Linked DNA regions of Drosophila melanogaster. The protein of the gene in region 1 interacts with the protein of each later gene in a pairwise test. Each region holds a gene or a part of one and is shown in the gene's direction. Other genes may lie near its edges.

Region 1 (4,829 bases):
ATTTTTTAAAGCTATTTATTTTAAAGCTATCATTACTTTTTCCTTTGGCGCAGTATTTAAGCTAACAAAAATACTTTCAAAACATAAAACTCAAAAGTACCATAGCTTAGAGTAGTTTTTTCGCTTTGAAACTAATTTTGTTAGCACAAATACTGAGTTTAATGCAGATTTATACATTTTTTTGATTTCTCTTCGAGCGGAAGAGCAGTTGGAACAAAAAAAAACAAAAAGATAAAGAAAACACATTTTGTGATATAGCCTAGCATGAAGAACAACAAGATGAGCATGAGATCCTGGAAATCGGAAATACGAAAATGGAAAATGCATGAAAAGCAAAAAGCTAAGAAAACTTGAACAGGCTTAGCACTTTGGCAAACCAGAAAACGATCTCAATTAAAAAAAAAATGAGATTCCCAATTAAAGAAAAAAAAAAACAAATAAAAGAAAAATGGAAAAAAATGAAAAACAATTTATAAAGAAATCATACAATAGGCCAATACCAACGTTTTAGCAATCTAAGTCTAAGAAGAAAACTAATCGAAATTTTCTTTACAACAAAACTAAACTAAATAATAACTAACGTTTGTAAACCTTGTGCGTGTGTGTGTAAAACAGTAGTGCTATCTAAATATAATACGGATTAGATATCGCATAATGCATCAACCCTATATAAGTACGAGTACATACATATTAAAAAACCTAAAAAAAAAAAATCAAACTAAAAGAAATATAAACTATATTTGTGTGTTTGATGTCAGTCAACTAAATGTTAAAGTCAACTAACGATCACGTAATTGTATTGCATAGCCTATAACATTTTTTGAACGAAGCAAACCAAGTCGATTCGATTTAGCATGAGTATCAACTTTATACTACATATACACTTAACGACTAAAGATAGACACACAAGTGGTACAACTAAGAGGAAACACCGGATGCAGCAGACACGAAAACGAATACCTAATCGATAGCGGATGCTGGCAATGATTAATTGATAATTGATTAATTGATTGGGGACTTTGATGACGGGCAAAACAATTAAAAATACTATACAAAATCGAAAAAGTCGTGAATGTTTTATTTGCTGGGCGGAAGAATCCAACCTACCAAAAAGTATTGCCTACTTATCGGATGATTGTTGCGATCCAAGACATTTTTATAATTTGATATTGAAGGAAAGGTTGGTCGTCCTGAGAAAAATATCGCAAATTCTTGCTTTTAATAGATTATTATTATGTTATAAGCAAAACATGCAACGCATAACAACACGGCGTATGAGTGATATTATTAGTAAATATCGCACATACGACCTGTGTTTCATTTGCAATGTTACTCATACGACACGTGTTTCGGGAATATATGAATGTTAATATAAGTTTCTAAGTGGAAAATACCACAGCGCCCGCTATTGGTGGTGTTCTTTGCGATTTGCCCACAAAGAAAGCTCTTGGCTTATCGTTTTGGTAAATTCATTCTCAATTTTCTATGCATTTACCACCGAAGCGCCCTCCGTTGGTCGTGTTTTTGAGAATTTTATCGTTTTAGTTGCGAAAAAGTCTTGGCAGATGTCGCTTTGCTGCGCAATCGTCCTGCAAGAGTGCTCTCTATCTACGGCTCTACGCTGTCGCTTTCTGGCCCGGCAAGCGATACTCCCAATGTTTACATTTTACCGACCTGATACCAAAGCGGTTGAGCAATCGTTTCGACTTCGGGTGTGAGTCCTCGTGTCCTCGGCTCTCAGCTGCTGAGGCTGCTTTCACAGCCGCTGATTTTGCCACAGTGGCTCCGTTATTTGTGCGTGCGCGTTGCCAATAAACGGGCAGCGGCTTCTGCTCAGCTCTCGTGTGATACAAAAATGTGGATTCCTGTGGATTCCGATTGATTGTTTATCGTTAACCGTTGGCCGATTCGGCAGTGTGTCTTTTCCCAAATTTTAACCGGTATTCAAAATTCCTGTGTGGGAGTATGTGTGTGTGTGCTGGCCCCAAAATATAGGCAACAAAAGGTGTCAAAACGGTTAAGCAGGCAGCTTCCTCTCGCTCTCACTCGCAGTCTCTCTCTATCTGTACGAGCATATTCCTCTGCAGCGCAATGTGTTTGTGTTATACACAGGACACAACTTTGAATACAGCCATAAAAAAAAAAAACCAACTCACACGTATACGGAAACGGGATTGGATACCGTAACATGGCTTGCGCCCACGCACGACCATATGCACATCCTAAGCGGCAAGAGCGCACTCTCTAGCTCTCTCTCTTGAACCTTTCTCTCTGACTTGCACAGTGGGTGTTATTTTTGTTTCACATCTCCAACAATTTGAGAAAATTTTATTATAGTGTTACATTTTTTTAAAAAATTAATATATTTTAGGTAATATAAATACAATCTATTTTATGTTTTTTACAAATTTTGTTTGTTTTGGAATAAACTTGACAAGCCAAAGTAACCCACTGTGCAGAGAGACAGTGTCCCTGTTTTTTTTGTCTTTTTTGGGTGAACTGAAATGATGTTGACTCAACGTGCCAGCAGCCAGCCAGGCGCTAACGGCAACAGCAACAACAACAACTACAGCAACAACCTGACAACGAGACAACAACTGCGTTGTAGTTGTGGAATGCGCAGCGTTTAATAAGTGTATTTTCCACGCAAAATTACACAAATTGTGTGCAAAAATTAGATGGTGAAAATGAAAGAAGCAGAATTGCTATTAAAAGAAGTGCAAAAAGTGTGCTGATAACGAGATAAAAGAAAAACCGTAACCGTAACTCTTCGGAGCAAGCAAGAGACAGAAGAGAGCGAGAGCGCTGTGGAGAGTGAGTGGAGAGGCAGTGGCAAAAAAATTCGTCATTCATTCACAAGTGCAATGTAGAAAGCAACAACAGCAACAAATAGGGGCAAAAATAGAGCGGCTTAGGCAGCAAATAAAACAAATAACAAACACAACAAAACAAAAAAAAAAAAGGAAAAATGAGTGAAGCGCGTGCTTAACCTAAAAGTGCAGGCCACTCACCCACACAATTACACACAATCAGGAACTCAAGCACGCTAAGCATACACATACAAACGTACCTATATGTACCCTGTATTTTCATTCATTACGTTTTTAGCGATGAATCACCACCTAGCATTCATCACAAGCGCTCAATCACCGCTCAGTTTGTACGATAACTAGTGATGATTTTAGCATTCACATGTCCTAAGAATTCATTACTTTGTCAAAGTATCACAAAAGCATCTAGAAAAAAGCACAAGATTTCCCACAAAACAATCGAAGTGCGATTTTGTGGTGGTTTTGATTGAGTAGCGATGAATATTGGAACTGCAGGGCACATACGTGTCGAGTCCTAGACTCAAATTCATGCTCTCTACTTTCCGCTTCCGCTTTTCGCAGACAACAACAATCGAAATGACAACAACAACAACAATGCATAGTTCCTGCTGAGTAGCTTTTCTGTATAATCGAATGAGTGTCCCTTTGTGTATTTGAACGAGATCCAAGGTAAACCAAGATGAAAGTCAATCAAGCAATAACAACAGCAACCGCAACAACAACTAATCACTGCCACCTAAAAACAATAAGCTAACAACAATAACAGCAAAAACAGCCGCACCGAAGAGGAGAAAGACCGGAAGAAAAAGCAGAACACGAAAGGAGTGTGGCAAACAAGAAACTAGAAAATGTCCCAACCCTCGTAGCTAGCTGAAATTTCCCAATAGGAAAATGGATACCCGCAGAAACTGATAAATATGGTTGGAAACAACATAAAAGGAACAACAAATAAAACAACAACTAAGAAGAACTCCACATGAAATCAACCCATAGGTAAAAACAACTATCTACATCAACAGGGGAATGAACGACTATCAACAACTGCCAAGAAGATTCAACAACGATAATTTACACCAACTAACAAAATAAGTTTACAAAAACCAATAAAGGAAATTCAAATTGTTCCACAACAACTTTAAATGAAATCAATATCTTATATCAAACATAACTATTAAATAGAAAGAACTTTAACAACGAAAAGGTTAACAACTAGCTGTTTTGAAAATAAATACCAAAAACTTCCTAGCAATGGCTAAAACTCTTCAAAAACATGTGGTAATTGAAATAAACTATATAAATTAATCAATAATAAAAAAAGTGCTTGCCAATATCAAAAACTTTAAATCTTTAGGATTAATACATAGTAATGGTAAACACCGACTAAACTCGCACAAAATTTAAACTAACGTAACGTTTTAGCAAAAACACTTCTTATTATCGAAAAGGCTTACATTTAAATAAATGTTGTGGATTATGCAAATGAAAGTATCTTAGATCTACGGCTTCCATACATTTAAAGCATTACTAAACAAACTGGTAAAAAACCAAAATATTTGCTAATCATTTCACATTAAATCACATATTTACAACAATTAAAGTATTTAAAAATACCAAAATACTAACGGAATCTGTATTGAGCAGCAAGAGATATTCAACCACAAATCACAACAAGGACGCACACCAATACTCAACAATGAACCAACAAAGGAAATTAAGCAGCTGGAACGCATTTGGCATTAACTGAAAAAATTCTCATATATCTTTAATTAACCAAAAATTAAATAAATATATAAAAAAAAACTATTTATTGGGGTAAAGCGAAAAGAGTAATGGAAACTGTAATAAGCTAACAAATATACTCGTATGCAACAATCACTTTCAACAATATACCCCTCATCAAGAAAACATTATCGAATCGCCGCAAGGAATCAAGCGGATTTTTCAAGATGGAGCGCATGTGGCGAAAAGTAAACCACAGTTTGCGCAACACCAGCAAGT
Region 2 (4,798 bases), 5.9 Mb from region 1:
TTTGGCCCTCTTCTCTGTTTGGCTGGCGCTGAGTGGCGCCAGTAGCACCCGACATCGTCACGCTGGAGGCCAATAGCAAGACCTCAACCCGTAGACAATTTGTCTTTACTTCTGCTCTTGCCCCGTTGTTGCAGTTATTTTTTCTCTTTTCCTACTTGGCCGCTTTGTTGTTGTTTTGGTTTTGGTTTGCTTTTTTTTTTTTGTGTGTCTTGTTGTTTTTTGCTGCTGCTTTACGGATTCGTATCGCCAACGAGATCGCCTTGCCCCCTTTGGGGGGTCTCCTGCTGCGTGGATCTCCTCTCGTTTCTTCCCAGTGATGTGTGTGTGTGGATTTTCTTCGGGGAACATAGCCGAGAATTTATGCCCAGTGCAACATTAGTTGCATAGAAATGTGTTGTCGGCGCACAAATTAAATAAAGTAAGTTAGTGTTGGGCAATGTCGTTATGGTTTAGTAATACTGTATAGAGTGACCTTAAATGGCAGTAAATAAGGATATTTAAAAAAAAAAAAACTTTAAAACTTTATATGGCACATTTTGTGGAGCATTTTTCATCGATTTTAGCTTGAGACTAACTATTTTTATAAGTAATCCACCAACTTGGTAACTGGTCACGTGTTTTTGTACGCTTAGTGCCGATTAGCCACTACCCCAACCACTATAGCCACACACAGCGATCCCAGCAGCAGCAGCGACAGGCACAGCCACAGCCTCACCTGCACCAGCACCTGCACACACATGCCCCCCCCCCCCCAATCCTCGAGTGCATCCATGGATCCATAGACAACTCCACCCCGAGGCGAGTGCTCGAGCTCGATATGGTGATGGATATGCGTGCAGCATAATCATGAAGTCGCTTTGATCTTCTGTCTGCGCTGTCTCGAAATAAATGAAATGACTCAGACAGGGGAGCATAAATTTTGCACTGGTGGAAAGTGTGGAGGGGCTGGGTAACTGGGGAGCTGCCGGAAATGTCATAAGCATAAATATAATTTTTTGATAATTGTGTGTGTCGCGAAGCGTTAATGGAACTTTAATTGAAACTCCGGACTGATTGGGATCTTAAACCAAAACAAATCTCTTTGAATGGCCAGCAATTCTAAAGGCGATGCAATGCAATTTGATGTCTTCATCGTTTCAACAACGAGCGTAATTACGACTTGATGGCCACATTAAATGAAGGGTGGTCTGAAAACCGGGTCGCGGAGGGGTGTTCCGTACTGTTGGCCAATTAGCCAAAGGAGATCGTTAGCTGTCCGACGATCATTAGCCTTAACGAGCTGTACAGCCAATTGCTTGCCAATTTATCTAGTTAATTATACGGATTTTCTATAGTTAGAACTCCTCGCATATGCATGCATGTGTACTTTATATTATTTATTCATTTTTTGTTTTTTAGTTTTATGATTTTTATTTAGAGAGATGGTAAAACCCTCCTCTGAATTCCGCATTGAGCAACTTTGTTGCGGCGTTTTTGGTTTTTTTTTTTTTGGATTTTGTTTTGCTTTCGTCGTCGGCTAATTGAATTTGATAAAAAAGCCAGCGAATGCTTTTAATTGACCAAACATTCAGACACTCACACTCGCCAATTATACGGCAGATAACCCACCCAATGTGGGTCTTTCGATTGAGTAAGAGCGCTCTGAACTTCCGCCAGCGGAGTACAAACCCGTATCCGTATCTCAGTCCGGAACTGGAACAGTCTGCACTCGGGAAATTAAGCATATTGAAGACCATAAAAAGTCCACTTAAATTATTAATCTTCCAGATTAATACGGACTCAAACCTCAGTTCATGCCCCTTAATAAGAAATTACATTTTATAACATTACATTTTATTAAGAACAATAACAAACACATATGGGAATTTTTTATTTCATTAAATTTAAATGTATTTAAATTTACCAACACTAAGAGGAGGACACACTGAAAATTAACCAACACCAAAGCTTAGAGTTGTCAACTTTTTTCATAACACGTGGCATTTCGCTGTGTTCGTAAGGAGATTTTTTTATTGCCTTGGCAAAAATTGGAAGTGAACAAACGCAAATAAGTGCTGCAGAAAATGTGTGAGAAAGCTAAGAAACTGGTGATTGGAAACTGGAAAGACAACGAAACCGATGCAGAAAAGGTTCAGAAAAAGCCGTTCCTTAAGGGTACGAAGTCTTCGATTTGGGGCTCCAGCGCTTCGGACATAAGCGGTCAGTCCAGATCTTTAAAATCCTCAAGCTCTGTCTTGTCCTCCAAATTCGTTACGAAAAGGCTTTTCACAATACAACACGGAATTGAGGGACAGAAACCAAATTTCAAAATCAGGAGCGAGAGTTTCAGTGGTCCGCATTCTGCTGGCGGATTTTCCAAGTCTACGCGCGAATCCCGGTCGAAAAGCAGGAGCATGGGTAATGGCAAGTTTAGAGGAAAATCCCATTTGCGGTCCAGTTCTGAGTCTGCTCATTCTTCCGGATCCGAATCGAGTTCATCCGATTCCAATTCCGGCTCGTCATCCGATTCGGATTCCACTACGGGATCAAGTTCTCACGGTAGCGATACGGGAGAGAGGCCACGCATGCGAAGCGCTGTTTTTCGCATTCATGAAACTTGGCAATCGCCAAATTCTTTCAAGGCCGTGAAAACCTCTCGTGAAAATAAAGAATCAAGAAGCAGGAGCAGCAGTCTACCGCAAAAGCGCTTTTGTCCTTCGAAGACCCAAAATGATCTGACGTACGGGAGTCCAGAACCCAAAAGTCCGTCCAATCGCGGCCGCAATTCGTGGAGGGTCGGAATGCGCACTCCCTGGAAGAAGAGTCAATCGAGGAGCATGAGTTGCAGCTCCATTCAAAAGATTTTGGTTAGCCGCTCCTTCACCAGAAGCCGCAGTCCCCATCGGAATACTTTGTGTTATCAGGACCAATCCAAAAACCCAAGCCGCCCTAGTAATTACAATACCTGGAAGCAGCCGATGGATGAGGTGTATAATAATGCCGCTAATTATCGGAAACGCCACAATATCACCTTGACCAGCTGGAATATGCGAAACCTTCCGGAGCCTGTGCTGAGTTTCGAGCGCAGCGGATTCAATGCAACCATATTACAGCAACTGGAGGATCAAGGCTATGATGGGCCCACGCCCATTCAGGCACAAACATGGTCGATTGCCAAGGAGGGCAAAAATATTGTGATGATTTCTGGAAAGGGTACGGGTAAAACATTGGGCTATCTATTGCCGGGCATAATGAAGATGCACAATCAGCGCGGATTAATGCAGCACAAGAAAGGACCGATTGTCTTGATATTGGTGGACTGCCGTGAGGCTGCTGTCATGGTCCAAAGAGAGGTATTGTACTATACAAATCCTCTCGAGCTTAGGACGCATTGCCTCTTGGGCAACAGTCAATGGCAAGGTCATGCCGAATGCGATCTGCTGGTGGCCTCTGCTGGTCGCCTGCTTCAAATGATTGATAACAAAAAACATGTTGTAGAACTGGAACGCTGCACATATTTGGTTCTGGACAATATTGATCGCATGATTGATGTGGGCTTAGAGGGTAACATTTGCCGACTACTATGCCGTCTACGTCCGCATGCCCAATTGATCGTCAGCAGCACGTCGTGGTCATCTAATCTGAAACGGATGGCCAACAAGTTTTTGGGCCAATACACCGCAATTCGCGTGGGTGAAATAAACAATATAGGCGTGCGATTACAAAACATCCGCCAGCGGGTGGAGGTAGTCAATGGGCTATCGAAAGTAGAACGCCTTATGAAGGAGCTGACTGCTATTTACGATACAAGCGATATTCCCGGTAAGGTGGTGATCTATGTGAAGCGCCAAAAGGTCGTGGAAGAACTGGTGGATTTGATCCGGAATTGTGTACCCTGCGAGGGCATCCATGGTGGACGCACTGCCCAAGAAAATCAAGGAATAATCCATGATTTTGGCACTGGCGCCTACAATATCATTGTGGCCACGCAAATGACATCGAACTGCTTGGATGTGCCAGGCATTCGTTATGTGATCAATTATGATTTCCCGGACAACATTGATAAGTATGTTCAACGCATGAGCAGAACGGGATGCCTGTCGTATAACCGTAACTGCGAGGTCATCAGCTTCTTTACCATGGCAAACTACAAGCTCGTGACGGAAGTGGTCGATTTTCTTAAGATCTGTAAACAAGAAATTGGACCGCATCTTCTTCAGCTCGCTGAAGAAAAGATGTTTGGTCCCCGTCAACGAAGGCGCCATCGTCCGCAACGCTACAATCGCATGCATTAGGGTCGATATAGCGGATATATATGTTATTGGCAAACATTTTGATGGCTTAACTAACTTAAATTGTTAATGTATAATGGATTTAACCCTTTAAATGTTTATTGATTTAACTAGGCCAGTTGAAATGGTTTTTTTTTTTTTGGGAGGGGGGGGGGGACTAAAAAATGGGGTAATGACGAATGGGAGGCATGGATGGCACGTCCGCAAAGAAAGTTGTGCATCCAGAGCTCAGAAGACGTGATGTTATGCAAGTGAAGTGCAGCTAAGTAAAATGCATGGCAGGCGCATCAATATTCAAATACGGTTTCAGTTCATACTAAATCCCTTATGATATTTACATGTGCCATTTATGTATTTATGCGTACCTTAAAGTTTTAAGAACCGTCATAGGATATTCAAACTTAATACGTTTTCTATCGTTATAAATTGTGAAAATCCGCCTAGATCTCGATCCATATCGAATCATTTGGGCTTCTGTCACCAATTCGCTGGTTCGCCTACCGTTCAAATTCTGACATATATGGGTC

Evidence for each region.
Region 2: the proteins of hwt (region 1) and CG14443 interact in a two-hybrid assay, tested with the Drosophila melanogaster proteins (one large-scale study listed by BioGRID).

What each region holds. Positions count from the first base shown.
Region 1 is NC_004354.4:12,565,400-12,570,228, reverse strand, and holds the start of hwt (heavyweight), read left to right. Parts: upstream 1-1,776; 5' UTR 1,777-1,940; intron 1,941-3,392; 5' UTR 3,393-4,777; coding exon 4,778-4,829.
Region 2 is NC_004354.4:6,631,896-6,636,693, forward strand, and holds CG14443 (uncharacterized protein), read left to right. Parts: upstream 1-2,063; coding exon 2,064-4,274; downstream 4,275-4,798. UniProt on the Drosophila melanogaster protein: Probable ATP-binding RNA helicase.